3 linked regions of the Diceros bicornis minor genome follow. The protein of the gene in region 1 binds, or shares a complex with, the protein of each later gene. Links are inferred from orthologs where the notes say so. Each region holds a gene or a part of one and is shown on either strand. Other genes may lie near its edges.

The links. The genes of interacting proteins can lie anywhere in the genome.
Region 2: the proteins of MYO6 (region 1) and CLTA are in contact, whole or in part, in an NMR structure (PDB 6E5N), measured with the Homo sapiens proteins. The link is inferred for Diceros bicornis minor from reciprocal best matches to the Homo sapiens genes MYO6 and CLTA. Residues at the interface, in NP_001355794.1 of Homo sapiens: Met1053, Thr1054, Pro1055, Met1058, Ala1059, Met1062, Ser1087, Trp1089, Lys1090, Tyr1091, Glu1113, Arg1117, Leu1118, Val1120, Tyr1121, Trp1124, Asn1128; in NP_009027.1 of Homo sapiens: Glu47, Asn48, Glu50, Ala51, Phe52, Ile54, Leu55, Asp56, Gly57, Gly58, Ala59, Pro60, Gly61.
Region 3: the proteins of MYO6 (region 1) and GIPC2 are in contact, whole or in part, in a crystal structure (PDB 5V6H), measured with the Mus musculus proteins. The link is inferred for Diceros bicornis minor from reciprocal best matches to the Homo sapiens genes MYO6 and GIPC2. Residues at the interface, in NP_001034635.2 of Mus musculus: Ser1055, Lys1056, Trp1057, Lys1058, Tyr1059, Arg1084, Arg1085, Leu1086, Val1088, Tyr1089, Trp1092, Lys1093, Asn1096; in NP_058563.1 of Mus musculus: Glu255, Leu256, Tyr257, Met258, Gly259, Ile260, Asp262, Asp264, Leu265, Thr268, Thr289, Leu290, Asp292, Phe293, Ala294, Pro296.

The regions. Positions count from the first base shown.
Region 1 is NC_080762.1:54,977,388-54,986,705, reverse strand, and holds the start of MYO6 (unconventional myosin-VI), read left to right. Parts: upstream 1-4,672; 5' UTR 4,673-4,832; intron 4,833-9,318. UniProt on the Homo sapiens protein: Myosins are actin-based motor molecules with ATPase activity. Unconventional myosins serve in intracellular movements. Myosin 6 is a reverse-direction motor protein that moves towards the minus-end of actin filaments.
Region 2 is NC_080767.1:4,652,631-4,662,828, forward strand, and holds the start of CLTA (clathrin light chain A), read left to right. Parts: upstream 1-6,448; 5' UTR 6,449-6,541; coding exon 6,542-6,737; intron 6,738-10,198. UniProt on the Homo sapiens protein: Clathrin is the major protein of the polyhedral coat of coated pits and vesicles.
Region 3 is NC_080743.1:15,402,649-15,412,413, forward strand, and holds the start of GIPC2 (PDZ domain-containing protein GIPC2), read left to right. Parts: upstream 1-6,015; 5' UTR 6,016-6,249; coding exon 6,250-6,765; intron 6,766-9,765.

The DNA of each region.
Region 1 (9,318 bases):
ATACTTTTTCATGATAAAGTACAGGAGATGCAGATGTTGATGGTGTATGAGGATGGGCTAAGATACACCATAAGGAAAAAATCATAAGACTATCTCTTTAGGAACCTGCTTATTTCCTGTAATTTATTTCCCTATAAATTCCAGACGATTACCACTAGCACAAACCTGCTAATAACTGAGGCAATGATCAACACTTCTTTTAGAAATTATAATGTTGTAAATATCTCATTTATTTATTCATTAAATAAATACTTGAGTACCTACTCATCCCTCTTTTGTAAGGTGGGGATAATGATAGAACTTCTCTGTATCAATTGGGGTGCTTCGCTGAAGGCAACAGAAACAAACCCTGCCTAACTTATCCAGAGAAAGAATGTATATAGTGGAAGAATATCATGTAGCTCACAGACTCACTAGGGATGGTGCAGAACTAGGTGTGTAAAATGTGCAGGGCCATCCATTTAGGATGTCTTTGTTGGCACTGTCATGACCAGACTCTGGTTGCCACAATACCTACCCCACTGTGAACTCTCTCTCCATCTCTGCATCTTTGCCTCACTTTGTCCAGATTCCAAGTTTCAGGTGAGAGCATCCAATTCACTTAACCTAGGTCCCATGCCATTCCTATGCCCTAGTTGCCAGATAACGGGGAGAAGGACTTTGGCCAAACTCAGTTTCCTAATTATGAGGTAGTCCTTGCAATCACCAAGATTCAAAATTAAGGATTCTCCACAAATAGGATGGGAGTTCAGAAGCTAGGCAGGCAAAAAGCTAATGCTCACCATATTACCTCCTAGGGCTGTGAAGATTTAATGGGATGGTCTATGTAAACTGCTCAGCACAGTGTTGGCACATAGTAAGCATTCAATAGATTTCAGCATTGTCATTATTATTAATTCAGTGAGGCAAGCAATGAGCTTGTCTCTAGGGATAAAAAAATAATAGGGTGGATTTTCTAATTAAAAAGCTCAATATTTTGGAGAGTTGTTACGGGGGGAAACAAATATAGAAATATTATCATAAAACCACTTAATAAGTGCTACAATACAGATATACAGTGGGTGCCCTGGAAAACAGGGAAAAGAAAAACTAATTCTGCCAGGGTCAGGGCAGAGAAAATGATGGACTGAGTTTTGAAGATTGGAAGGAGCATCATGAAAGGGCTTGACACATTAGAACTCCTATGACAGGGCAGGTTCAGGATTGTTAAGGGCTCTGTACACCATGTAAATGGGTGTTAATGGATCTGAACGTCACCAGGAGTCGGTACAGGGGGTGACAGAATCGGATTTGGGGGAGGGGTAACTCTCTAGGAGTGGTGAGAGAACAGACTGGAATGAGCAGAGGGAATGTCAAGAGTGCAGATGAAAGAAGATGGCTTGCACTAAGGGAGGATGGAGATAAAGACATCAACTTACAAGGAATTTATGACATAGAATGAACTGAATTCAGTTGACTCCAAAACCAGGGGTGAGGAAGGGAAGGAGTCCTGTGTAACTTAAAATCCACAACTTTTTGAGACCAGTGACTGGTAGTATCATAATTATAACAGGGTCTATTGGCAAAGGAATCATTTGAGGCAGTGGGAGTGGAAAGAGACTGAGTTTCTGTGGGGTGTTCAGTCTGCCTTACCTTAGGAGTTGCAACACTGATGCAGTTGAAGCTGTCAAAGTGGATATCAGCCAGGGACGGTGCAGAGCCTCTTTAAACACCTAAGACGTTGATTCCCATAAAAATGAAGGAACAAAATCACAAAATCTTGCATATTGTTTCAGAGGCAGTACTTTGAGCCTCCATCTATGATAGCGGATCCATGGATCTCAGTTTAGGAATCTCTGAAGTAGTACAAGGAGACTTGGGGAAGAGTCTTACAAATATTTAATGGTGAGAGCAAAGTTGAAACACTTAACAAACATAAATATGGAATAAATTGTTAAGATGAGTTTTGGCAGCAAATATGACACAGTTACTTCCACCATGCTTAATGACAGTATACACAATTTCCTAGGATTGTCAACTGCCTTGCTGTTTGTTCATCCATCTGTCCCAGTTATTCAACAACAATAATAATGAGGGGGCCGGCCGGTGGTGCAAGTGGTTAAGTGCGCACGCTCGGCTGCAGCAGTCCAGGGTTCACGGGTTCGGATCCCGGGCGCGCACCGACACACCGCTTGTTGGGCCATGCTCTGGCGGCGTCCCATATAAAGTGGAGGAAGATGGGCATGGATGTTAGCCCAGGGCCAGTCTTCCTCAGCAAAAAGAGGAGGATTGGCAATGGATGTTAGCTCAGGGCTGATCTTCCTCACAAAACAAAACAATAATAATGATAGGCACTGTTTAATGAGTAGCTACCATGTAAAAGCCACCAGGCTCCACACTAGGGACACGAAGGCAAACAAGGGCCCTTTTCTGCCCTCAAGGAGTTTACAGGCCGGTTGGGGGAAACAGGTAAGTAAATGAAAGTAGCGATAGTAAAATGAGTGTTGGAAGAGAGATGTGCAATAGGTGCTGAGAGAGAGACGGGAAAGAGCACCAAATTGCACCTGGGTTTTGGAATAAGGGGGTTAGCAAAAACTTGGAGGGGACAAATACGCTTTATTCTGAAGGATTAATTAGATTTAGGCTGGCAACACTCCAGTGTAATAAATAGCATAGCTGTCTGTTCTGGACACCAAGCACTTCAGAACTGCTTGAACATAAAGTGAAGAAATGGAGAAAGGCAATGGATAGAAATGAGACTGGACAGGTAAGCCGGGCTAGGACAGTGGTCCTAAATGGTTAAGTGATTCCAAAGACAGGCAGGAAACATTGTGTGAAGAAGCCTGGTTTAACAGAGCTTTATGGGGTTTAAGTCAGTGACGAACTGGGGAACAATGAGGAGGCATTCAAATTCAATTAAATGAAAAAACGCAAGAGATCTCCACTGTGCTAGACAAACAGACACAGTCCAAGGATCATAGAAGACATTTTAAGGAGTGTGGATTTTATACTAAGGGTAGTCAGGGCCACTACAGGAGTCTTCAAAGAGGAGTACATAATCAGACTTTTATTTTATACAATATAAACCTGGTAGCATTGCAGACACTGGATTAGAAGGGAGAAGATGCCGCCTGGGAAACTGGTTCGGTGGCTAAAGCAGTACGCAAGACCTGAAATGACGGTGGCCTGAAGCAAGATGACGGCAGTGGCTCTGAAGAGGAATTCGATACACTGGAGAGATATGGAGCTAGAATCTAAGGGACTCAGGAATGACCTGGAAGTGGGGGCAGAGGAGAGAGAGAAAAACCACAAGTCCTCACTCACAATAAACTGTACTGGCTTCTATCGTTCTGCCAAAGCCTTTCAATCTTAAATCCAAAAAAAAGTCAAAGTCGTGAACTGAAATCATCCTCTCCTTCTCGCTCTTTTTTTTTTTTTTTGCAATTCCTTTTGAAATCTAGTTTTATATACTTAAGGTTTACCTCTGGGCAATCTGGAATTAAATTTCTGAGATTGCTGTAAATTAGTTCCTTTCTTGGTTTCTCTTCCTCTTTCTTACTTCCCTGTTTTATTCTTAATATTTTATTGTTTTAGTTGTATGCTAAAATATCTCATCATAACTTAGCTTTTCCACCAAAAGAACTGTGGAACATCTGAATATCTGAAACTTGTCTCCCATCAGAATCTTCTAGATTTCCTGAAGTTTCCTAGTTGCACTCAGAAATGTTGCGGGAAAAAGTGTAATTCTCAGGTATAGGTACTTGAACTTTTTTCGGCGGAGACGTTGAGCATCATAGTCAATCACCATTTCATTTTCTTAAAAGAAGCTTCTTTTCTTCGTAAAGGCAATGTATGTTTTTATCACATAATTCAATTTTGCATAGCTTCTTCACATTTAATTTTGAAATATGACTCACAGGTAGGTCACTTATAAAAACACTAAAATATAAACAACAGAGAGGATCGGGGCTCTGACAAGTAAAGGCGGCGGCAGGACGGAGGCCAAAGAAATGCAAAACTCCCATCTCAGACCCCTGCTCCCAAAGCAGACTGGCAGGTTTGTCGCGCAGGAGGTCACCCCCTTCGGAGGGCAGCCCGGCAGCCGCCGCGCCCGGGGCCGTGGTTCTTCCCCGCCCAGCCCCTGCCGGGGCCCTGCCCGCCCTCGGAACACGCGCGGTCCGCGCCCCTCCCCGGACCACCCTCCCTCCGTGAGCCGAGTCTCGCTGGAGCCGGACTGCAGTCACCGCACCCAGGCCGGAGAGGACCGGCTCCCAGGGGTGCAAACCACAACAGCCGCCCAACACGCCGCTTCGCAGGGGCGGGAACGAGGAGGGAGCTCCGCGCCGCGCGCTGGCCGGGGGGGCCGGGGCAGGGACCGCGGGCCCAGACGCGGAGCGTCCCCCGCCCGCCGCGCCCCTCTCCCTTCTCCGCCCGGTATCCCCGCCCCTCTCCTCCTCAGGCCAGTCGCCCCGTCCCGCCCTCCCCTCTCTCGCCGCGCCCTCCCTCTCTCGCCGCGCCCTCCCTCTCTCGCCACGCCCTCCCACCCTCCATCGCCCCGCCCCTCTCCCGCCTCCGCCCGATCGCCCCGCCCCCGCGCCCCGCCCCCTCAGGCGCTCCGTAGCCGTGACGTGCGCGGGCCCGGGGACTCCGCGGGGCGCCGGCCGGCGGGCGGAGACGGACCCGGCGACTGTCCGAGCAGGAAGCGAGCTCTGCCTGGTCCGTGCCGCCGCCCGTCCCTGTGCGCGTCCGCCTCGTCGCCCTCTGCGCGCACGCTCGTCACCTCCTGCCCCGCCCTCCAGTCTCACCGGCGACAGGTAGCCCTCCGCCGCACACCTGCCTTCGTGGTCCGCCCGGTGAGTGTCCGGAGCCCCGCGGGGGGCGTCGGCCTCGTTCCCCGCCGCCCGCCCTGCGTCGGGGGCTCCTCGGCCGCCCGGGCCGGGGCGCGGGGCTCCTCCGAGGACGCGGGTGGGGAGCAGGTGAGGGCGGCGGCGGCGGCGGCGGCGGCGCCGGGCTGCTGCTCGTTTCCGCAGGACAATGGGCGTCCGCGTCCAGGGACTTGTCATCTCCGGGATACCTTTGTGTCTGCGCTGGCTCCCGGGTGGAAGCAGGGCGCTCTGGTGTCCGCTCTGTCCGGGCCACTCCGTGGTGGCTTTATTTTCTCTTTCGTAAACAAGCTTCAAATCCAGCGCAGCAGTAGTGCCGTTTGTTCTGGGAGGTGCGGATCACACATTAACCTAGTAGTTTAATCATGTAGGGGACCAGGTTGGGACTACCTAAAGCTCCATTTGTCGTCTTTAGATGGTCCAGTACTTTGAGTATGCTAATTTATATATCTGCTACTGAACAACAGGTTTTATGTTTGTTAATTTCCAAAGACTCTTTAAAACGATTAAAAGCTCCAATTCTAGGACTTTAAGTAGGAAATAATTTGATAGGGTTATTATAAAACATGGGTGTCAGAAATACTTTCATACAATTTCAGAAAACACATTACATTTTATCTGACATGATGTTTGCGGTGGAGGAATGCTTAAATCCTAATCTACAGATATTAGTGAAGAACTGGGAAGACTGCCCCAAACTTAATAGACTGATGTACGTGCTAAATAAAAGGTTCATTTGCACTTGTGCTCTGGTGGTGTAGATGCAGTGTATCTAAATGTAGTCAGGGTTTGAGAGTTTTAAAAAAGAATATTCTTAAGATTTAGCTCATGCTGTTAACACCATAAAATGTGACTCTTGAACTTGGGCTGGCAGTGGTCATGGTACAAAGGCTGGCAGCAAAATGGCATTTCTGTACAAATTAACTCCACTTCGTAGATGTCTTGGGCTGTGGTTTTCCAGTTGGAAATTGTTTAGTGAAAAAATTACCTTGGTGTCTTTTATCATTAATTTTAGAAACAGCACAAATTGGGCTATAGCCAGATCTTGAAACAATGCAACTGTTCAGAATAACTCATTGACTTTTAAATATCCAGTTCATTTTGAGTATTTTCAGTTGGGCAGGAATTACATGCACATTTTAGTTGTAGGCAGATTTGCCCGTCGCATTTGTATGTTCTGTGTGACATGCTATTGTTCTCCCAGCTTTTTGTTATATTTTTGATTTCAAAAACTAGTTTTAAAAGGCAGTAACAGAAGTGATAAACAACTTTAAGATCATCATGATTCAAAACTCTAAATATGTAATATATAGAACTATATATAATATACGTATATTCTTCATTAGTGCCCGGAAACATGAGCAAGAAAAATGTAATGAGCTATTGCACTATTTAATGTAAATTAATGCAAGGTATAAAAAACAGAGATCATAAATCATAACGCATGGGGCTCATCTGAAATAGATTTTTTTCTCTGTTTATGTTTATGTGATCAGGTTTTAAAATAACAGTGGCCAGGAAATCTGAGAGAGGCTGAAGGCTCTTTTCTCATCCTGTTGTGACTTTGTCTGGAGACTGTGGTGTATCATGTAGCCCATTGTTTAGATAACTGGCCTGTCTCTGGGTTCTAAAATACAGCTTTCTTTAGAAAGTTTAAAAATTTTGACCACGTGAGGTTTGAAGAAATATAAACACCCTAAACATTTTTTTTTTTAAATGAAGCAATTTTCATTGTCTGTTGATTATTGAAGCTCCATCTTTGATATGTAAAATGTCAGTTTTAAAAAGATTTCTTTAAACTTTTTTTTTTTTGGTGAGGAGGATCAGCCCTGAGCTAACATCCATGCTAATCCTTCTCTTTTTGCTGAGGAAGACCAGCTCTGAGCTAACATCTATTGCCAATCCTCCTCCTTTTTTCTCCCCATAGCCCCAGTAGATAGTTGTATGCCATAGCTGCACATCCTTCTAGTTGCTGTATGTGGGACGCGGCCTCAGCATGGGCGGAGAAGCGGTGCGTAGGTGCGCGCCCGGGATCCGAACCCGGGCAGCCAGTAGTGGAGTGCGCGCACTTAACTGCTAAGCCACGGGGCCGGCCCTAAAAAGATTTCTAACCTCTGTGAAATTTTCATTTCTACATATTAAAATATTTTGAGTAAAAGATTGAAAAAAATATTACAACTTTAATGAATCTCATACAGTTTAATTGTGAGCCCCATAGGAAGAGACTTCGTAATAATTTGTGAACTGGCCCTTTAGTATTATAAGATCGTCACCCATTTATCAGGCATCTGCCATAATCAGAACACTAACTGAGGGACTTGATCAACAAAATATTATCAAAGCTGGTGGTCTTGTCTTTTTACACATGAGGAAATTTAGGCTCTGAGAATTAAATATTTGCTCAAGGTCATGTAGCTCCAGAGGGACAAAGTCTGGATTCACACCCAAGTCATCTGACCACGAGACCCCGTCCTTTCCACCAGACCAGGGTGCCTTGATCTCAGTTCATTTAGTAGACTGTTCAGTAAACCTGCAGAACTGGTATTGTGTTCCAGAATGTAACTTGAGGTTTGAAGAAGGCACACAGGAGTGAGGATAAGATAGGCCGTGAATATGGTTCTGGAATGAATTTTGATTTCTCTGTCTTTTTTCATTCTTAAGTTGACAGCCTTGAATGGTGATATGATGTTGCTTTATCATTTCTGGTGTAAATTCTAGAATGTTATACATATTGTGCACTGTTTAGTAGGTTTATAGGAACTAGAATTAGGCTGTAACACTGGTTTTCATTGTAGCTAAAATGAATAGTATAATCTTTCTAGTTAAGATAGAACTTTAAAATTTTCCTCAAATGAGATAGGTTGTTGCCCATAAATGCACTAGTTGTCTTTTAGATACTACATAATTAACTCTGAAATCCTGGGGTGGGGGACTTGTTTTTAGATTATGATTAAATTGTCATCTCTACTTTTAGGACAATTTTTTTTATGGCCTGTGTTTATTTCAGGAATATCCCTTGAGCTGTAATAGATATAAAGGACAAAAATGAGCACACAAAGTCCATGCTTTGTAACAAAGTAGGAGTCATTTCAGCAGTAGAATGTAGTTGGGTAAATGAGCAGAAAATGATAGGAAGGCTGAGTTGGGTGACTGCTTTTACAGGTGTTTCGGTATTTGATTTGATCTATTAGGAATTTTGCATCTCAAGGATACTCATATTCAACTGTAAATACAAAACCATCATCCAAGGGCTTAATATAAATTGTTAATGGATGATCTGTAATACATCTGCTTTTGTGTATGTAGATAATCAAGAACTAAGTAAAGTTAAATAAGCTTAAATTTCATTTTTGAGGCATTATATAATGTTCAGAGGAACCAGGATGTTTTGCATTTAAAACAGTTATGCTTTTATATGACAAATTTAGTGGACTGCTAATAATCTTAAAATATAAGTATTAGAATCTTTTTATTTATGGTTTTCAAAAATAAACTTGTTTTCTTATTTAGTAGAATAAGAATGACATAATGGTTTGAGAAATGACCAGAAATTCACCAAAAGTGCTCCTTGTGAGTACTGAAGCATAGGAAGTAAAACCGGAAGCGAATCTGGCATCTTTAGAAATCTTGCTAGTATTAAAGAGAGAGGAAGTCCTTTTCTGTGCAGAAAGAATGTCTCCAGTGAAACCAGAATACGGAAGCACATTCCTTGGGTGATACTCACATAGGTGAAGATTCAGGTCCAGGCTGAGTAATGTGCACAAAGGAAGACGGTGTTCCTGGCGAAACCACAGGCATCTTTAATGAACGTTATGTCACTTGTTTTTTTATTTGGAAGTAACCTCCTGTTTAACCTTACGAGGTAAAGTATTGCATATAGCAGAATTTTAAAATTTCTGTTATATGTGGATGAGCATCTTTTTCAACAATATTTACTGAGGGCCTACTGTGTTTGAAATGTGACTATAGATGGGGAGTGGTGCTTCCCTGTCCTGGCAGATCTTTGGATCTAGGAAATAGGAAGAGTGGCAGAGATGTAAAAAGAAAAATAAGTAGAAACATCCCTTTAAAATCTGAAGATGTTGATGTCAAAAGTTAACATCTTGCATTTGTATGGCAATTGTTTTGGAAATCACTTTATGTACATTTGGTCCTTAAAATAACTTGATAAAGTAGACGTGATACTTATTCTTATTCCAAAGATGAGAAAATGGAGACAAAAAAATTAAGTGCCTTGTTCAGGATCGCATATGTGGCTGCTCAGCTCATAGCTGAGAATAAAACCTCTGTTCGTGTATTCCCTTAGTAGATCTGCCTCCCCAGTTCTCTAGCTGCTAGATGTTAGAGTTAACGTCTTAGCTGTGACTTGTTTCATTTTATGGCTTTAATTCTGATGGTTAAGGAAATTCTGAAAAGTCAGGGTCACTAAAGTGATAATTGTTAAATAGTTACAAGT
Region 2 (10,198 bases), on another chromosome or scaffold:
GTTCATAATAGGCAAATCTACAGAGACAGAAAGTAGAAAATTAGTGGTTTCCTGGAGGTGGGACAGTTGAGAGGATTGAGGAATGGTGACTAAAGGTGCAAAGTTTATTTCAGGGGTAATGATGAAAATGTTCTAAAACTGATAGTGGAAATGGATGCACAACTCTGTGAATATACTAAAAGCCATTGAACTGTACACTTTCAATGGGTGAATTGTAAGGTATCTGAATTGTATCTCAATATAGTTGTTAGATACGATGCCTGTGTCTTGGTCATTCTTTCTTTCTTGGATTACTCACTCTGGAGGACGCCAACTTCTGTGTCTTGAACAATCTTTTGGAAAATCCCATGTGGCAAGGAATTGAGGCCTCCTGCCAGCAGCCATGTGAGTGACCTTGAAAGTGGATTACCCTGCCCCTGTCAAGCTTTCAATGGCTGTAGCCCCTGCCAGTAGCTTGACTGCAGCCTCATGAGAGATCCTGGGTCACAACCACCCAGTGAAGCCCTCCCAGATTCCTGACCTTCAGAAACTGTGTGAAATAATAAATGTTTGGTATTTTAAGTGCTACGTTCTATGATAATTTATTACACAGCAATAGATAATACAAACCCATCTACCTCTTTAAGACAGGAATTTCCAACAAAATTGTACTTTTTATATTTAATAATTATTTATGAAATTTCTGGTATAATTTGTTGCTTTAATTAAATATATACTACTAATAATTATAATGATGTCAATACAAAACAAAATTTTAACATTCAGAGCCTTACGGTCATGGGATATTTTTTAAAAGTCCATTATATTTATATTACATATTTTTGTTATAAAGAAGTATGACAAGTTGATAAACGAAAGTCTTTAAAGCACAAAAAAATTCTAATAGGCTAGAACTTAAGAGTAGGTGTTTGAATGGTAGTATGTGTTCCTGGAGCAAAAGCAAGAATCTGAAATTTCTTAATTTTAATGAAAAACTTTGTCATATATTTTTTGAATGGATAATGGTGAATATCAAACCACTATGGTATCTAGATGCCATTGGATACATTTTAAAAAGCAATGGAACAATTTTATTTCAAAGAATCAATGTTTACAGTATATTAGAAAGTACATCCATTGCAACAAATTAAGTAATTATGAAAAAATTTAGATGTCAATTTAAAATGCACACGAGATGTGGATTTTTTTAAATTTTTTTTCCCCCAAAGCTCCAGTAGATAGTCGTACGTCATAGTCGCACATCCTTCTAGTTGCTATATGTGGGACGCGGCCTCTGCATGGCCGGAGAAGTGGTGCATCGGTGCGCTCCCGGGATCCGAACCCAGGCTGCCAGTAGCGGAGCGCGCGCTCTTAACCACTAAGCCATGGGGCCGGCCCAGAGATGTGGATTTTTAAAAATTCTTTTAGGGAGGGTATTTTTATCTTCCTTGGAGTTCATGGTGATTCTTGAATCTGTGGCTTGGTTTCTTCATCAATTTTGGGAAACTGTTAGCCATTTTCTCTTCTCACATTGCTCCATTCTCTCTCTTCTCTCTTTCTAGCTAAAAATTACATGTTTATAAATCCTATTCCTCATATCCCATATGTTTTTTATGCTCTTTTCCGTGTTTTCATCCTTTTGATTCTGGGTTTCAGCCTGGATATTTTTCTGCTCTATCTTCTGGTTCACTTATTCTCTTTTCATCTATGTCTAACCCACTATTAAATTTATCTACTAAATTCTTAATATCAGATACTCTAAATTTCAGTTCTCAAACTTTCAAACTGCTGAAATTCTCAGTATTTTCTTTTAATTCCTTGAACTCGTTAATCATAGCTATTTTAATGTCTAGGTCTGATAACTCCATTTTCTGAATCCCCTGGAATTTCTGTTGTATGTCTGTCCCTGAAAATGTCTCTTAGCATGTTTTGTCTTTATATGTTTAGTTATTTTTGGATGAAATTTTTTCTGTCAGAGAATTTACTTTTGCTTTTGGTGGGCAGCCTAGGCTAAGGGCCCCAGAAATCCTGGACCACTTTAATTCAACCAAGGATTTTTATGACTCAAAGCTGGGCTTTAGTCTTTCACCTTTATTCCTAGTGTGTATCCCACAGGGTCCCCACAAAAAGCCTGGTACATTTATCAGGACCCCTCCTTCTTGGTAGGCCCTCAACTGTTTGATCTCCCCAACCCTGTTCACTGAAGCTCTACTCAGCTTCTCAGTCTCTGTTTTCAGAACTAACAATCTCCTTGAGAGGAAACATGGTTCCAAATGTTAGGCTCACTTTTCTTGGCCTCCCTCCTCTCCTAGAACTGGGGCCCACAGTTCCTCACTGCTTTGGTAGTCCTCTGATACCTTCAAAGAGATCTTTTAAACTTTTTGCCCAGCCCTTCCAGTTGTTTTCAGCAGAAGAGTTGGCCCTAAACACTTTGCCCACCACCATTCCTCTCCCCTGAACTTCAGACTTGGATTTCCAGTATCCTGTTGAACGTCTCCTGAATATCCCACATGTCTCTTGTGCTCAATATTTCCACACTGAACTCTACATTTGTCTCGTCTCCTGACCCCTCCCACTCAGCTGGCTTTGCCTGTGGTGCGTATTTCTTTTCCTTTCCTGAGGAAGATTTGCCCTGAGCTAATATCTGTTTAGCTCAGTTTTCTGCCAATCTTCCTCTGTTTTGTATGTAGGTCACTGCCACAGCATGGCCACCAATGAGCAGTGTAGGTCCACGCCTGGGAACTGAACCTTGGCCACTGAAGGTGAGCGTGCTAAACTTAACCACTGGGCCACCAGGCAAGCCCCTGTTGTGGCTATTTCTGTTCATAGTTTTCCTACCTATAAATATTATGTGTGAATTTCCTCTCTCTCTGCCTCCTAGATGCTATCACTTACCAAGTACTGTGTACATTGCCTCCATTATTTTCTTTCCACGTGAGTCCACTGCTCTGTTCCCTAGAGTATCATCTTTAGCTCTCCTCATCTCCCTGTTGGATCACTGCAGCAGTGTCTTTCCTAACTGTCTTCCCTGCTTTCAGAATCCTTTCCTATTCTTACAGTGCCTGAGCTGCCAGAAGAGTTCTGACCAAGTCATTGCCTGCTTCAAGTCCTTCAAAGTCTCCTCACAGCCTCAGCAATTAAGGGATAATCTTCACCTGGGCACTCAGGCCCTCTATGATTTGACTCCAACTTTCTTCAGCTGTATCCACGTACTTTCCTAATCTTTCCATCATCTAGCCAAATCACATCTCAGAGTACAGCACCACCCTCTGCCTCTCTTCCCCTCCATGCCATATCTCTCACAACCCTTCTCCTCTGAGATGCGTCTCAAAATCTACTCCATTCATTCCACCAATAAATATTTTTTGAGCACGTGCTATGTGCCAGGCATAATGCCAGAGCCTGAGAATACGAAGGTGAACAAGGCAGGCATAGTCCTTGCCCTCACATAAAGGTCTAGTGGGACATATAGACACTCAGAAAGGACTTAATCTCCTGTATGAAACTTTTCCAGGACTTCTCAACCAAACATGACTCGCCTTCTTTCTGTCTTTACAGTTCTTTGCTTGCTCACTGCACTCTCCGTACCCCCACTCCACATCACCATCTATCTTATAGTAATTTGTATGCATTTCTTACCGACCTCCTTCTGGATCAGATCCTTTTCCGCTTTAGACGGTGGGATCTGTCTTAATCCCTCACTCAAGACCCTTCAAAAATCATTGTGTGACCCTTGGTCTGGCTCTGGCAAAATGCTCAGGTAGGATCCTGCACAGGTCTAGTCTCTGCCTCCCCCTAGAACCGAGGGCTCTTCTCAACTATGTCACCCAGTACTTCCCTCTCTCCATTGCTCCCATTTCAGGCCAGCAGCTCTCCTGCTTGCACATACTTCTAGCTACTTCTTGGACATCTCCTAAATATTCTATGACTCCTGGCAATCACCTGAGCTTTCCCAGAGCCCATAAACTAGTGGCTTCAGCAATTTCACCAACTCATGATTTATGATCTCATCTTTTTTCCCCGCATCTCTCCCAGTCCCTACCTGTCAGTCATGAAGTCAGTCACTTCTCTGTTGAGACCCACTTTCCCATAAATGCTCCTCATCCAGCTCCACACCACTCCCCTGCCTAGACCTTCATCATGCCATTCCTCAAATTCTCTGCCCACAGCTTCTGCTCCCCTCCATCCTGCACACAGGGGCTAGATTAATCTCTTAAGCAGCACGTTGGTCAAAATCATTCCTTTCTCAGGGCCAGCCCCGTGGCTTAGCGGTTAAGTGCGCACGCCCCGCTACTGGCGGCCCGGGTTCGGATCCCGGGTGCGCACCACCGCACTGCTTCTCCTGCCATGCGGAGGCCAAGTCCCACATACAGCAACTAGAGGGATGTGCAACTATGACATACAACTATCTGCTGGGGTTTTGGGGGAAAAAAAAGGAGGAGGATTGGCAATAGATGTTAGCTCAGAGCCGGTCTTCCTCAGCAAAAAGAGGAGGATTAGCATGGATGTTAGCTCAGGTCTGATCTTCCTCACAAAAAAAAAAAAAAAATCATTCCTTTTTCTGAAACCTTCCATGGTTCCCTATCACTAATAAGTCTCCTTAGCATGGACTGCATTCTTGACCCCAGCATATGTCTCTAGATTTACCTTCAATTATTCTCTTCTTAAGCCCTTTCAGGTCCAGCCAAACTAATTTACTCTCTGTCCCTCAAACACGCCCAGCTCTGAATCTTTGCCCAACAGTAATACGAGGCCACCATTATTGATTCTTCTAAATCTTACCCATATTCCATAATGGAGCTCCAAGCCGCCCCCTCTGTGAAGTCTTCCCTAAGCACCTCAGCTGATTTTCCCAATTCTGAGTGTATAAATATTTATTAATTTTGCATGATGAGATGTGATGCCTCCTGTAGCAAGTGACTCTCAGGCCAGCTTCCCCAGAATCATGCACTTACCCTGGAGAGAATGCTGTCTGTCCCTTAGCTACTACTGTTGTAAGCAACCAAAAGTTGTCTTCCTTGGACCCTCACATGGTAGTCCTTGACACTTATCCTTCTCACAGGGGCAGGGTAGAATGTTTCAAGGAGATGAACGTGAAACTACTTCATGCGTTGTTACCTATTTATGTTAGGGGTGAGCATTAAACAAGAAGAGGGAGGGGAAGACTGAGACAGTTACAGGTTCTAAAATTTTAAGTTTATTAAATGTTTTTCTTCAAGACTTTCCTACATTCCACACTTAAAATGGCTTTAAAAGTAAACGCATGCTTTAAGGAAACCATTACCCTTTTTTGTCACCAAAGATACATGTATGTTTTTAGAAACCACTTTCTTGTTCCTTGTTGACTGCCTCTGGAGGCATCTTTGACCTCTGGCTGGTTTTTTGGTTAGTTTGTTTCTATTTTTGACTTTTTACTTTTTAGGGTGGTGCTGGTAAAGGAGAAAGGTCCTTCTGTTAGCCATTGCAGAAGCTCCCCCATCCTCAACATGAACATGATTAACTGGAATCACTCTATTACCATTTCTATAGTGCAGACAAAATTATCTAGCCATGTTATTAACAGTTCCGGGATTTAAAAGAAATACTGAAAGAACTTTATTTCTAAAGAAAGTTCCTGCTGTCCTTAGCTGGGAGAGGTGCATACATATACAACAGGTTGGGGCTAGTACATTATGGAGCTGCCCAGGAGACCTGGGTTTCCTCGCAGCCACTGACTCCCTGTGTGATTGATCCCTTTCCACACAGGGGTCTCAGTTTCCCTATGAACCCGGGATCCCTGATGAATTCTCCAGTCCTAGAAACTTCTGTCTAGGTCTGAAAAACATACTGGCTGCAAAAGGGCTTTGTAACAGAGCTATATTCGCCTTTTTATAAAAATACTATGGGGGAGAAAAATCAGAGTGGTTTCAATTACATTTGAGTCAGGGGGCTCTAAAGGAAAAAATAATCTAGGCTGGGTGAATGAGTTAACAAATACAGAAAGTCTTTTGCAAAGCCAGTACAGAGCCGTACAAGTTCAGCTTTCCCAACCATCCTGGCAGCGCAGGATTCTCGTTCCCATTTGACGAAAGAGGAAGCTGAAGTTCAGAAAGGCTAACGAGCTTGACTCTTCTGCAATCGGCCAATCACTGCCGCCCTAACTTCACCTCACCTGCCGGTTCAGCCCCAGAGGCCCCTCAGAGGAGCCGGCCCGGCTCAGCCCGCCCCCGACACCAGGCGGGCAAGGACGCTTTAACTCAAGCCCCACTTCCGCCTCCCCTCGCCCCAGGGGCGCGCGGCCCTCACCTCCGCCACTGCGCGAGTCACGAGTTGTCCTGGGGGGCCCGGCCCCTCCTGCTGATTGGGTAGCTGTTGAACCATTGCTGTCTTCTGATTGGCTGTGGCCTTTTCGGCTCTCCCAAACCGCCTAGACCGGCCGGATATAGGGACAGGGTTTCCGTTTCCGCTACCTCCCTCCTCCCGCTTGCCCTCCAGTCGCAGTCGCCACCACAGCGGCCGCTGCCGGGCGTGGTGTCGGTTGGCTCGTTTCAGCGTCGGTGCCCGTGCCGTTGAACTGCGCGCCATGGCTGAGCTAGATCCGTTCGGCGCCCCCGCGCTGGGGAACGGGGTGGCCGGCGCCGGCGAAGAAGACCCGGCCGCGGCCTTCTTGGCGCAGCAGGAGAGCGAGATTGCGGGCATCGAGAACGACGAGGCCTTCGCCATCCTGGACGGCGGCGCCCCCGGGCCCCAGCCGCACGGCGAGCCGCCAGGGTGTCCGGGTGAGACGGCGGGCGCGTTCGGACGGGAGGCCTGGCCTGGAGACTCGGCCGCAGTGGGTCTGAGAGCTCGGTGCAGCTCCTTCTGGGTGAAGCGGGCGGTTGAGCAGGAGGGCCGAGAGGAAACGAGACCCCGCTCCGTCCCGCGGCAGCCCCGGCGCGGGCGGCGAGGAAAACGGCGTGCCGGGCTGAGCGCCCGGAGAAGCCCGTTCAGTTCAGGAACTTTTCGTTGAGCGCTTGCTGTGCCTTGAGCCTGGCCTCTGAAGCAGCCGCGTTGGCGCAGTTTGGCCAGACTTACAGGCAACTCGGAGCCCAGCACGGAACCAGTTATTGGGAAAGGAGGGCAGAAAAAATAAGAATAGTATCGTTTTTGAGGCATACAATCAAAAATGGCATTGCAGTTCAGCGTTTAAGTACTTAAGGTGTCTAGGAAGAGGAGTGAATAGGAAACTCAAAAAAGATGATCTAGCGCTGGAGAAAGACACTGCCGCCAAAGAGGGATAAGAGTTTTGCCATTTGTCAAACGTAGTACCGCTAGGACATGTGGAGCTCTGCTTCCTTTAGGAACAGCTTTGTTAGGCACTGCTGCCTAAGCAGACCTAAGATTAGCCTGGATCAATCTTTCAAGAGGTGAACAAAGAGTGTAGTATGTGGCCTTTTCCCAGAAAAACTCAAGGGGAAAGAAAACGCAGTAGGATGCCAGTTTGACCTTTGAATGCCTTGCATGTGGGTGATGCTTAGGATTGTGGTGGTTGGAGGAAAGTATGAATGGAAGAAACGCTGTTGGTAATATAGGGAAGTAGGAAATTAGCTAGAAGAAATGAGATGTGGCTTTTCATGCACTTAAATGCAGTTAAAGGAGAATAGGATACTGGTGGGGCAGATGGGAGGGCCAAACATTAAGGGCCTGGGTGTGAGACAATAAAAAGTGTTGGAGACCCAGGCTCTGGTGCTCTAGAGTAGTGCCCTTAAGAAAAGCGTTCCGAGTCAGAAGTCTCAAATTACTATGCCAACCAAGCAGAACCTTTTTTTTTTTTCTTTTTCTTTTTTGGTGAGTAAGATTGGCCGTGAGCTAACATCTGTTGCCAGTCTTCCTCTAGTTTGTATGTGAGTCACCGCAACGGCAGGGCTTGATGAGTGGTATAGGTCTGCGCCCTGGGTCCGAACCCACAAACCTGGGCCACAGAAGCGGAGCACACTGAACCTAACCAGCATGCCACTGGGCTGGCCCCAAGCAGAACCTTTTTTGGGAGTGGGGATGGGGAGACTACTAGTTTGCAGCCTCTGAGTTTTTATGTTACCTCATGCTGCCTCCTAAGCAAATCGATCACCCAGTAAGAATTTACATGAGACCATGTTATGTGCTTGAAAGTGTAATTTATAGCAAGCAGATTGGATTGAACTGAGTTGTGGCTGGGGGATGAAGTTGGCTTTAAGTGATTGGGGTTTTTTTCTTGTTGAGTGGTCTTTAACATTTGGCTGAGAATGACAAAATTTACTTTCTAGATCCTTAGTTTGCCCCCTTCATTTAATAGAAGAGAAAACTGAGTCCTACAGAGAAATAACTTAATAGAAAAGGACAGTAGCTGAGCCCCAAGTCTCCCCACCCTTAGACTGAACCATATTCTGTTTGTTTTTGCAGGGGTGTAGTTGAATAACAGATTGTCCTTTTTATTTTTGTGTATGTGAGGAAGATCAGCCCTGAGTTAACATCCATGCTAATCCTCCTCTTTTTGCTGAGGAAGACTGGCTCTGAGCTAACATCTATTGCCAATCCTCCTCCTTTTTTTCCCTCAAAGCCCCAGTAGATAGTTGTATGTCATAGCTGCGCATCCTTCTAGTTGCTGTATGTGGGACGCGGCCTCAGCATGGCCGGACAAGCAGTGCGTTGGGGTGCACCCGGGATCCGAACCCGGGCCGCCAGCGGCGGAGCACGCGCACTTAACCGCTAAGCCACGGGGCGGGCCCGAGATTGTCATTTCTAAAAGGTGCTTGTGGCTGTCCTGGGTAGGACAGAGTTGGGAGAATCAGGATGTATAGTTAGAAGATTTTCCTGATTCAAAGACATGTTACTCTTGCTCTCTGTTGTATCTCCAATGCCTAGCAGAGTGTCTGGCACATAGTAGATAAAAAGAAATGGCCAAAAATGTCAGGTCCAAGGGCCATGTATAAAACCTGCACATCTTGGTGATGGGCAGCTTGGGGAGGTGAGAGGGAGAGAATAGAGTTGGACACACAGGTCCCTTGTGCAGCAAGCTTTCGGCAAAGGGAAGGAAGGGATGATTGCTGACTTAGTTCCTAGGAAGGACTTGCTTAGTGAACTAAGCGTTTAGTGACTTAAAGCCCGATCTCTGACAGTGTAGTTGAGGTTGGTAATAGTGCAGTGGTCGGAAAAAAAAGTAATGCTGTGGTCAGCACTTCCTTTGGGGATTAGAGATCTAGTTGGACACTTTTCTTTTTTTAAGAGGCACTCTAGTGGTTAAGATTCTGTGGTGTCCTAGACTGCTTGAGTGTGAGTTTACCTTTGTTGTCTCAGGCAACTTAAATGACCATCACTGCTGCCTTGCCTCAATTTTCTCCTCTGTAAAAGGGGTACGTACGTACCACGTAGGGTTGCCAGGATTATGTTAGAGTGCACCTGTAAAGTGCTTACAGTACCTTTAATATTATTATTATTATTACTACACACAGTTCCTGGCTACTGTTTTTCCTTGGAAGTAGGGAGAGAAAGGTGTTACAAAGCCTCTAGGCTTTGGGGTGTACTGAGGAAACAGATTTTAGGAGGGAGCTCTGTATCTTTGTTATTATACTGAGGTATATAGGCAGGAGGCTCTAACAGAGATTGAGGAGAGAGGAACATAATCTAAACTCCCATGGAGCATGGGGGCAGGCAAAACCAGAGGGGTTAGGCCTGAGTCATGGATGACTCCCTTCGTGGTTAAGAGAATCAGAGAAGAGACCTAAGTTTAGAGCTGGGGGGGTAACAGCTGGGTAAATTGGCTCTAAGGGTGTTGAGGAAGAACAAGTGGTCAGGAAAGAGGCAGCGTAAGTCTAGAGCTGTTGAAAAGCCCTCAGTCATGAGGGCTGAGGAGGGAGGAGAATGAGAGGCAGTTAAGGAGCTCCTCTGAAAGGATAGCATTGAGGCATTATTTATGTTTCTGACAAGTCCTTTCTTGGAGGAGAAGGAAGAGGGGTAGAGGAATTGAAGGCTTTCTGGAGGGAGAGAGAAATTTTTTTGGCAGCAGTGATAGAAGTTCAGGGTAATCTCACGCATGATATTTAGCACTACTGCACATTTACAGTATGCCAGGTACTCTCCACACTTTCAGATCCATGCAGTAACTGCAGGCTGAGTGGTAGTGTCATCCTGTTTCAGGTGAGAACTGAATGTCGTGGAAGTTAAGCAGTGTTCCTGAGGGAGCAAACTAGTATATGCATGGCTCAGCTGGCATTCAGATCCTGGT
Region 3 (9,765 bases), on another chromosome or scaffold:
CCGCCAGCAGCGGAGCGCGTGCACTCAACCGCTAAGCCACGGGGCTGGCCCTGAATGTGGCTACTTTCTAAATCCCACACACCAATTCCATATTTATGTTATTGTGTAAGAACTTAAGTTAAATTAGCTTACTCTTCACATCTGTTCTTGCTTCTTTACTGTTTTATTTATCATAACCTCAGAGATGGAGAGTAATTTGGTCTCCATGCCAGAGGGTTTCCTCCAAGTATCCATGGATGAGTTAACGCATGTAAAATGCTGAGCACGAAGCCAGACACACAGTAGGTGCTCAGTGAACATTTACTTATTATTATTGATTATTAACTTGATTCTTCCCGCTATATCACTTCATCTCCTTTTTATTTCCATTTTCCAGTTCTCTAGTTCCAATTATTCCTAGAAAAATTTATTTGAATTTTAGCTAAATAAAGGTTATCTCCTTGCCCACTTGTTATCTTCAGTTGTTCATTGTTGCTATGCAACTATAAAACATGCTATCTTTAGTTCCAGGGAAAACTACATATGGTTTAACAAATCCTGTGTTTATTTTCTCCCAAGTTCTTGCTTACTGGATACATGTTATATATAACTGAGGCTGGGGAGGGGAAGGGTGTGTTGGGGGGCATTGTGTGTTTTTTCATAACTCCTAATGTTACATGTTGTAATTAGAGGCCACATTTGCTGGGAAAAACAAGTTAGTATCTTATGATTCATTTGATGACTATGTGTTTTCTGATAAACAAGTTATTATTATTGCTTTGGCAGACATATAAGGTTATATTAATTTAATCCTAGAATTTTTTTATGACTCACTCATATTTAACTTTATAGTTGATACTTTTAGGCTGTTAGAAATACCAAATGTTACTTAGTGGAAATACTGTAGATAAATAACCTGGGTTGAACTGTAAGCCTAGATGTAAAGTGAAGACTAATACTTGGATTAATTGTAGTTAATTCATTTATCTTAGGTAGTAACAAAGGTCAATTAATTTTATCTAATCATATTTACTGATATCTATTACATACATAACACTGTGTAAGAATCTGGAGAAGATACCAAAGTGGAGTGTGGAGCATGGTTTCTACCATCAAGGAACTGTGTGGTCAGGTAGACAATATACTGTATGTGAGAAAAGTCAGCATGTATGCAAATACAAAGCTCTGTTGTAAAGAACTGTTTCTAGTACAATAGATGTGCATTAGGAATTCAGGGAAATGAGGAATTAGGTGGGCTGGTGTGCTAGCTAGCATCCATTTACCTTTCTAGATCCAATCTTCACCTTTTTCAGTGTTTCCTGGAGGCATCTGCAGCCTGGGCCATATCAACAGAGACTCTTTCCTCTGGCATCTGATTTAGTTCAGTGTTGAGTCTGGGGAGATGATCTGAGGAAGGGAGGAGAATGAAGTCAGAATAGGCACATTTGTGGGACCTGGGGCAAGAGTACACACGGAAGCCCAATTATTGAAAACTAATTGCTTAAAACAAACTGACAAATGATATATATTCTATCCTCCTGTTGTATCTTAATAATGATGTGAAAAGCCAAGTTAAAATTTAGAGTTCCCCAATTCATCAGAGGTCCACACTGGAATGTAGGGACATGGGGAGAAACAGGTCTCTGCCTGCAGCCTACCTCATTCTTTTTCTACCCTGCTCTATTCTACTATTCTACCCCCACCCCTCCTACTGTGGCAAAGAGCTGCTCCTTGGCGACCCCCCCAGGCATTGGGGATGTGCACATAGCAGTGCTGGCTGCCTGGACCCTGGAAAGCCTATGCAGTTTCTGGAAGCAGACTTGGGGCCATCTGGGCAAGGAAATCCAGGATCCTGGGTATCCAGAACATAGTGCAGAAGAGAGGGCATGGGTTCTGAGTGGCCATGCTCCCTTGACCCTGTAGATTCCATACCTTGTAGGGTTTTGTGCAACTGAAGGAGGGCCGGAGCAGGTGCTCCTTTTGCCCAGGTCTAAGGGTAGTCTTGGGTCAGGCTCTTCATTTCCATTTCCCCAGCTGCCTTGTCTCTAGAATGCCTCTGGCTGGATGTTTTCTTCAAGCAAATGTGACAGCTCCTCTTAAGATGATTCTCTCTTCAAAATTTTCTAATTCCTCATCTCTTTAGACTTTGGGATAGAAACAGCTATGGGGTACTATACTATATGTTATTTTAAAAAATTTTTTTATTGCTGTAACATTGGTTTATAACATTATATAAATTTCACGTGTACATCATTATATTTTGATATCTGTGTAGACTACATCATGTTCACCACCCAAAGACTAATTACCATCAGTCACCATACACATATGCCCTTTTACTCCTTTTGCCCTCCCCCCTCCCCCATCCCCTCTGGTAACCACCAATCTAATCTCTATATCTATATGTTTGTTTGTTGTTGTTGTTGTTGTTTTTATATTCCTCTTGTGAGTGAAACCATATGGTATTTGACTTTCTCCGTCTGACTTATTGCCCTTAGCATAATATTCTCAAGGTCCATCCATGTTGTCACAAATACCAAGCTTTCATCTTTTTTTTTACGGTTGAGTAGTGTATATGTATATATAGTAGTGTATATATTCCATTGTGTATATATACCACATCTTCTTTATCCATTCATCCATTGATGGGCACTTAACATTTTTTCCAAGTCTTGGCTATTGTGAATAATGCTGATATGCACATAGAGATGCAAATATCTTTTCCACTTCGTGTTTTCATGTTCTTTGGATAAATACCCAGAAATGGAATAGCTGGATCATATGGTAGTTCTATTCTTAATTTTTTTCTTTTTTTAGAAAGAGCAATGTATGGCTTTGCTCTTTTTTTTTTTTTGAGGAAGAGTGGCCCTGCACTAACATCTGTTGCCAATCCTCCTCTTTCTCTTTTTTCTCCCCAAAGCCCCAGTACACAGCTGTGTATCATAGTTGTAGACTTGCAGCTCTTCTATGTGGGACACCGCCTCAGCATGGCTTGATGACCAGTGAGTAGGTCCGTGCCCAGGATCCCAACTGGAAAACCCTGGGCCCCCGATATGGAGCGTGCAAATTCAACCGCTACACCACCGGGCCAGTTCCTATTCTTAACTTTTTGATCTCCATACTGTTTTCCGTAATGACTGCGTCAGTTTACATTCCCACCAGCAGGGTATGAGGGTTCTCTTTTCTCCACATCCTCTCCAACATTTGTTATTTCTTGTCTTGTTAATTATAGCCATTCTGATGCGTGTGAGGTGATATCTCATTGTAGTTTTGATTGGCATTTCCCTAATAATTAGTGATGTTGAACATCTATTCATGTGCTTGTTGGCCATCTGTATATCTTTGGAAAACTGTTCAGATCCTTTGTTCATTTTTTAATTGGATTGTTTGTTTTTTTGTTGTTGAGTTATGTATGAGTTCTTTATATATGTTGGATATTAACCCTTTATCAGATATATGGTTTGCAAATATCTTCTCCCAATTGTTAGGATGTCTTTTTGTTTTGTTGATGGTTTCTTTTGCTGTGCAGAAGCTTTTTAGTTTGATGTAGTCCAATTTGTTTATTTTTTCTTTTGTTTCCCTTGCCTGGTGAGACATGGTATTCAAAAAGACACCACTAAGACCAATGTCAAAGAGCATACTGTACTGCCTATGTTTTCTTCTAGGGGTTTTATTGTTTCAGGTCTTACATTCAAGTCTTTAATCCATTTTGAGTTAATTTTTGTGTATGGTGTAAGATAATGGTCTACTTTCATTCTTTTGCATGTGGCTGCCCAGTTTTCCCAACACCGTTTCTTGAAAAGACTTTCCTTTCTCCATTGTATGTTTTTGGCTCATCTGTCGAAAATTAGCCATCCATAGATGTGTGGGTTACACTATATGTTATGAGTATACCCTGACCACCACCTGCCCAGTCCCTTTACTAAACCATCGCCAAATATTCTTAATCTGATTGTATCATCTGTTTCCTGCTGTAACTATGGCTGATACAGCTGGTTCCTTATGGGAGATTTTACAGCAAAGGTGAACTTGATGTAGGTCTTGAGGGAAACTTTATAGGCAAAAAAAAAAAAAAGATTTAAAAATTAAAGGAGCTTGAAAGGTTATACAATCCAACCTTCCCACCCCATGCCAATACTTTTGCCCTGTTTATTTCATATTTTATTTGACACAGCTCAAAGGCATTCTTCTCTGAATTTTTTCTTAATTTCATACCCTCTTGTGTTCCCTCATACTATTTAGATATTGATAATGTACCTGCCATGAACCCTATGATGACTCACTTTTCCTACTTTTCTTAAATAAAACTTCAGGGAGCTTTTTATTCAAACACTGCATTGTAAAGCCATATGGTTTTCACTTGATGGAAATGCATCATTTACTTATTAGGTTTTCTCTACTCTTTGCTCATTAACCCAAGATAATTAAAGTAATGGTATCTGGTGCTGTAGCAATCATAAACACAAAGGCAAATTCGAGTCCCGAGATCCTGTAGCAGTATACCATTTTTAGGGAGTCATTCATAAGAACCAGAATATGTTTATATTAAATTTTAATTCAGAGAAACATAAAACACAAAAATTTTAAAGTTATCCTAGAAAATTAACAGGCTCCCTTCCCCTGCCCCAGTATATCTGCTAATCTTAATTTGAGAAACATGGATTTTCAGGACTGAAATTGATGTGAAAGGTGAGGGAAAAGGAAAAAGCTTGGTATGATGACTCAAAGATGTCTGGTCTGGGCCACTGAGCACATGATCCTATTCACTGACATCAGGAGTAAAAAAAAGATTCTTTCAGGAGAAATGATGAGCTCAGTTTTGTACAAGCTTACTTTGCATTTCCTGCACTACGTTTACTTTCTGGTAGACTGAGCTGCAGATATAAATTTGGAGGCCAATACCAACTATTGAACCCAAGAGAATACATGTGGTCCTGCAGGGAGAGCATGCAGAGTCAGGAGAGAAGAAGGTCAAGCCTTGGAGAACACAGTTGGAGAACACAGTTCCTGGAGAGTAGCAGTTAGCAAAGAGGCAGAGAGGTAAGGAAATCAAACAAGAGGCTGATTTAAGAATGAAATGGTCATGAGGCCGGCCCAGCGGCTTAGCGGTTAAGTGCACGTGCTCCGCTACTGGCGGCACTGGCCTGGATCCCAGGCATGCACAGACACACCGCTTGTCCGGCCATGCTGAGGGGGCGTCCCACGTACAGCAACTAAGAAAGATGTGCAACTATGACATACAACTATCTACTGGGGCTTTGGGGAGAAAAAGGGAAAAAAAAAGGAGGAGGAATGACAATAGATGTTAGCTCAGGGCTGATCTTCCTCACATACACACACAAAAAGAATGAAATGGTCAGTGCTGTCAGATTCTCTTAAAGGTCGAGTAAGATAAAGACTGAAAAGACTTAATCATATCTGGTGATTATGAAGTGCTGAGCATAAGGAGAGCAATTTCAGTGGAGTGTGGGAGCAATTTCAGTGGAGTGTGGGGACAAAGTCTGATCACAGCGAGTCTAAGAGCAAAGGTGGAAGTGAGGAAATGCAGCTAATAATTCAAGACTGTTTTGCTTTGTTGTGAAAATGTAGCTACAGGCGACTACAGGGGACTGCAGGGATGGAGGAAAACAATGTAAGAGATCAGTGAGTGGCACCAGGTGGGGAGGGGAAGGACAAGGGTCAACAGGTAGCTTAAAAAATAGAGATCCTTGAGGAGTAGCGAAGAGATCAGACCAATCAAATGAAAAGACTTCCTCCGAGTTTGGAGAAGGGAGGTGGGTGGAGTTACAGACAAGGGGTGGGAAATTGAGGGAGCTCACACGTCACACTAAATGGCCTCGATTTTCTCTCTAGGGTAAGAGGTAGAATTCTCCGCAGAGACCAAGAAAGGCGGAGGTGGGGCAAATGACTTGAGGAGAACGCTGAGTGGGAGAGAAAGGTGCCCAGGAAAAAGCGAAAAGGATTACTGAGAGGTGCTGAGGGTGTTTGACTATTAATTTAATGTGGCACCAATCTCAAGGCTTTTCCTTGAGATTGGTGTGAGGCAGGATGTAGGTGCAGAGAAGGCAGATGCAGGTTAACTTCAACTTAAATCCCTATCCCCAGTGGCCTAGACGTACCAAGGCGTGTGGCCCAATAGCGTGTGAGAGCCTACTGCACGTTCTTGCAAAGCACCAGAAGGGCCAGCGTGTTCTAGGACGTGTTCTTCCGTAGCTTCAGCATCCCAAGGCTGGGCTTGGAAATCGAGCCGTTTTTAAAAGGAGCGGGGAGATGCCGGGAGATGAGATGAGGGACCGTGCCCAACTTTTCTTCTCTCCAGAGCCACCCGGGGAGAGGGCAGGCGGCTGCTCCACGTCCAGGTGCCGCTCCTCGGGTGGAGGAGGGGGCCCCGACCCGGCGCGGAAGGCGGAAGCGCCTCTGCCATTGGCCCAGCCGCGCCCTTTACCTGCGCGGAGCCCGGGGGCCGGGGCGCAAAGTCCGCGCGCCGGGCCGAGGAGGCGGCCGACGGCAGCACAGGTGGGCCCCCGCCCTCGGCCAGGCAAGATGCCCCTGGGGCTGCGGCGAAAGAAGAAAGCCAAGTCCAAGGAGACCGCCCGGCTGGTGGAGGGGGAGCAGGAGGGCGCGGGCGGCGGCGGCGGCCCGCCGGAGCCCCCGGGTCCCGCGCGCAGGTTGGTTTTCCACACGCAGCTGGCGCACGGCAGCGCCACGGGCCGAGTGGAGGATTTCTCCAGCATCCAGGAGCTCTACGCCAAGATCGCAGGCATATTTGAGATCTCGCCGTCCGAGGTAAGGGCCGGGGGCTCAGCCTCCCGCTCCCTCCCCCACGCTGACATTGCCCCGGCTGGTGAGCCGCGCTTCGCTGAGCCCGCCGTCGGGTGCGGGGTGAAGCCCGCCGGGAGCGCCAGGGGAAGCGAGAGGGCCTCACAGGGAAGGGAAGGGTAGGTCCCGGGACCGGAGAAAGTCGCGGTCCCCACGCTCGGAGACCGGCTTCTGGGAAACCCGGGATGACCTTTCTTCCTCATGCGAGTAAGTACGCTTTAGTAGTCCTGGATTCAGCCGCTCCGGCGTGAGCGCCTTCCCGGAGTCCGGATCTGTCTGGGCAAATTAACACCCTCCACTTCATCTGGATTTCACTCTCTGGCTTCCTCTGCAGGGAGGAGAGGGCCACGCTGAGCATCTCCCAGATTCAAAGGGGAGGGGGCCGGAAGGAAGTGCCTTCCAGGTGATACCAAACCGAGGCCCACTTTGCGCCTCATATGTCATGTCCGGCATCAACACTTTGGTATTTCCAAGAAGCTTACTATATTGCAAGGGTGGATAACTTAGAGAGTTATACTTAACTACGTGGGACTAGTTAAAATTTTCAGAGGGGAAATCAGCTCTAAATTTTACACCATATCGTTGAAAAGGGACTGAAATTTGCTTTAATTAGATTGACTGCATGTGTGCCTGGAACTGGAGTTCCATAGAGGCATGATTTCGAAAGCACTAGTCTATGCGGATCTTTATGTGACCACTTTATTTATGCTTACCCAAGCGAACTGCAAGTGTAGGTGCGAGAAGTTAGCCCAAGAAAATGTTTTGCCCCTACTTCTAGGAAAATCACCAGATCTTGCCGCCCTGGACTCCAGGGAGCGCGGAGGGCTGCCTTTGAGTGACACGGCGCGAGCAGCATGGGTATCTGCTCTTGAATGTTGTTTATCAGGTCTGTTGGGGGGGAATTGAGGTCAAGGCAAAATTCCAAGAGGAGATGAGAGAGAGCTTGAAGTGTAACCTTTTGTTCTTTCAGCGTTCCCAGGCTCTGAGGGGCAAATCACAAACCCATTTTGTGAATTATTTATGTTGATATAGAGTAGTAACCGTAATACTTCACCTTTATGTAAGATGTTTCAGTGCAATAAGCACTTTCTCAGGAATCATGTCTTTCGATTTTCTCTAGGAGAGGTAGGTGGCAGGTAGCTAAGGACAGGATTTGGAGACCAATAAACCTGGGTGTGGATCTGGGTTTTACCACTTACAAGCTGTGTGGCCTTGAGCAAGTTTAACTTCCCTCAGTTTCAGCCATCTATGAAATAGAGACAAGAACATCTACCTTGAAGGGTTATTGTAAAGAGTAGAGTTCATATGTCAACCCGTCGGAGTGCATGGTGTATGGTCAGTGCTTAACAAATTGTAACTAATGTTATTAGTACCTAATGGTTAAATGAGGGGGCTGAAGTACAAAATCATTGGGCCTTGACCAAGGTCACATAGCTAGCAAGAAAAAAGCTGGGCTGTTATTTAAACTTGGATCTTCTGGTTTCTAAGCTGAGTAAGCTTGTTATTATACTTAGCTGACAATTTTACATGTCTCTCCTGTAACCAGGGACTGCAGATTTAGTTACTTTGCATTAACAGTCTTCCTCATCATAATATATAACATTCTGAGCTCAAGATGCATGACTTTATTTAGTCCCCTTAATCCCTGAGAAGTATTATTATTAGTATCCCTGCTTCACAGAGAGGAAACTGAGGCTTTGAGGTTCAGAAATTTTTCAAAATTACACATAGTAGGTGGCAGAGCCTAGATTTAAACCCAGGTTTTTTTCTGACTCCAAATTCCTTGAAGTTATATTGCTGTGTTGCTTCCCAAGTTTTTCCAGGGTGTCTCAGCAATAGCTTGGCAGCCATGTTCAACGTTTTCAGTTTCTAGTGCACTGACTTGCAAGATAAAATTCCAAGATAATATAAACATAAGGTGTTTTTTTTTTGTGTGAGGAAGATCAGCCCTGAGCTAACATCCATGCCAATCCTCCTCTTTTTGCTGAGGAAGATGGGCCCTGGGCTAACATCTGTGCCCATCTCCCTCTACTTTATGTGGGACGCCGCCACAGCATGGCCTGACAAGCGGTGTGTCGGTGCGCTCCCAGAATCTGAAACCCAGGCCGCCAGCAGCAGAGCGCGTGCACTTAACCGCTACGCCACGGGGCCGGCCCCAAACATAAGGTGTTTTGATGTGCTATATCAAAGTTCAGAAATTTTTATAACCCTAAATATATATATTAGTATGTTTATACATATAACCAACATTAATGCAAGTTTTGCATTTGGATTAAAAAGAGTTAAGTATAAAGTATTGGTCATCATAGTATAGTATGTTGTAAGTATCTCAGTAGTTAATTTTGAAACAGAAGTAATTTATTAAAATGTGCACCAGTGAGGCCGGCTCCGTGGCTTAGCGGTTAAGTGCGCGCGCTCTGATGCTGGCGGCCTGGGTTCGGATCCCGGGCACGCCCCAAGGCACCACTTCTCCGTCCAACCCGAGGCCGAGTCCCACGTACAGCAACTAGAAGGATGTGAACCTATGACATACAACTATCTACTGCGGCTTTGGGGGGAAAAAATGAATAAATAAAATCTTTAAAAAAAAAAAAAAAAAAAAAATGTGCACCAGTGAGATCCCATTTCCCATCCCATTCTCCCAGCAAGAGGAATAATGGTAAAACTTTTAAAATATCATTGGAGACAAAACAAAAAATTTCCCCTCTTAATAGGTTGAATATGGGGGCCGGCCCTGTGGTGTAGCAGTTAAGTGTGTGCGCTCCGCTGCGGCGGCCTGGGTTCGGATCCCGGGCGCACACCAACGCAACCCTTGTCAGGCCATGCTGTGGCGGCGTCCCACATAAAGTGGAGGAAGATGGGCACAGATGTTAGCCCAGGGCCAGTCTTCCTCAGCAAAAAGAGGAGGATTGGCATGGATGTTAGCTCAGGGCTGAGCTTCCTCACACACACAAAAAAATAGGTTGA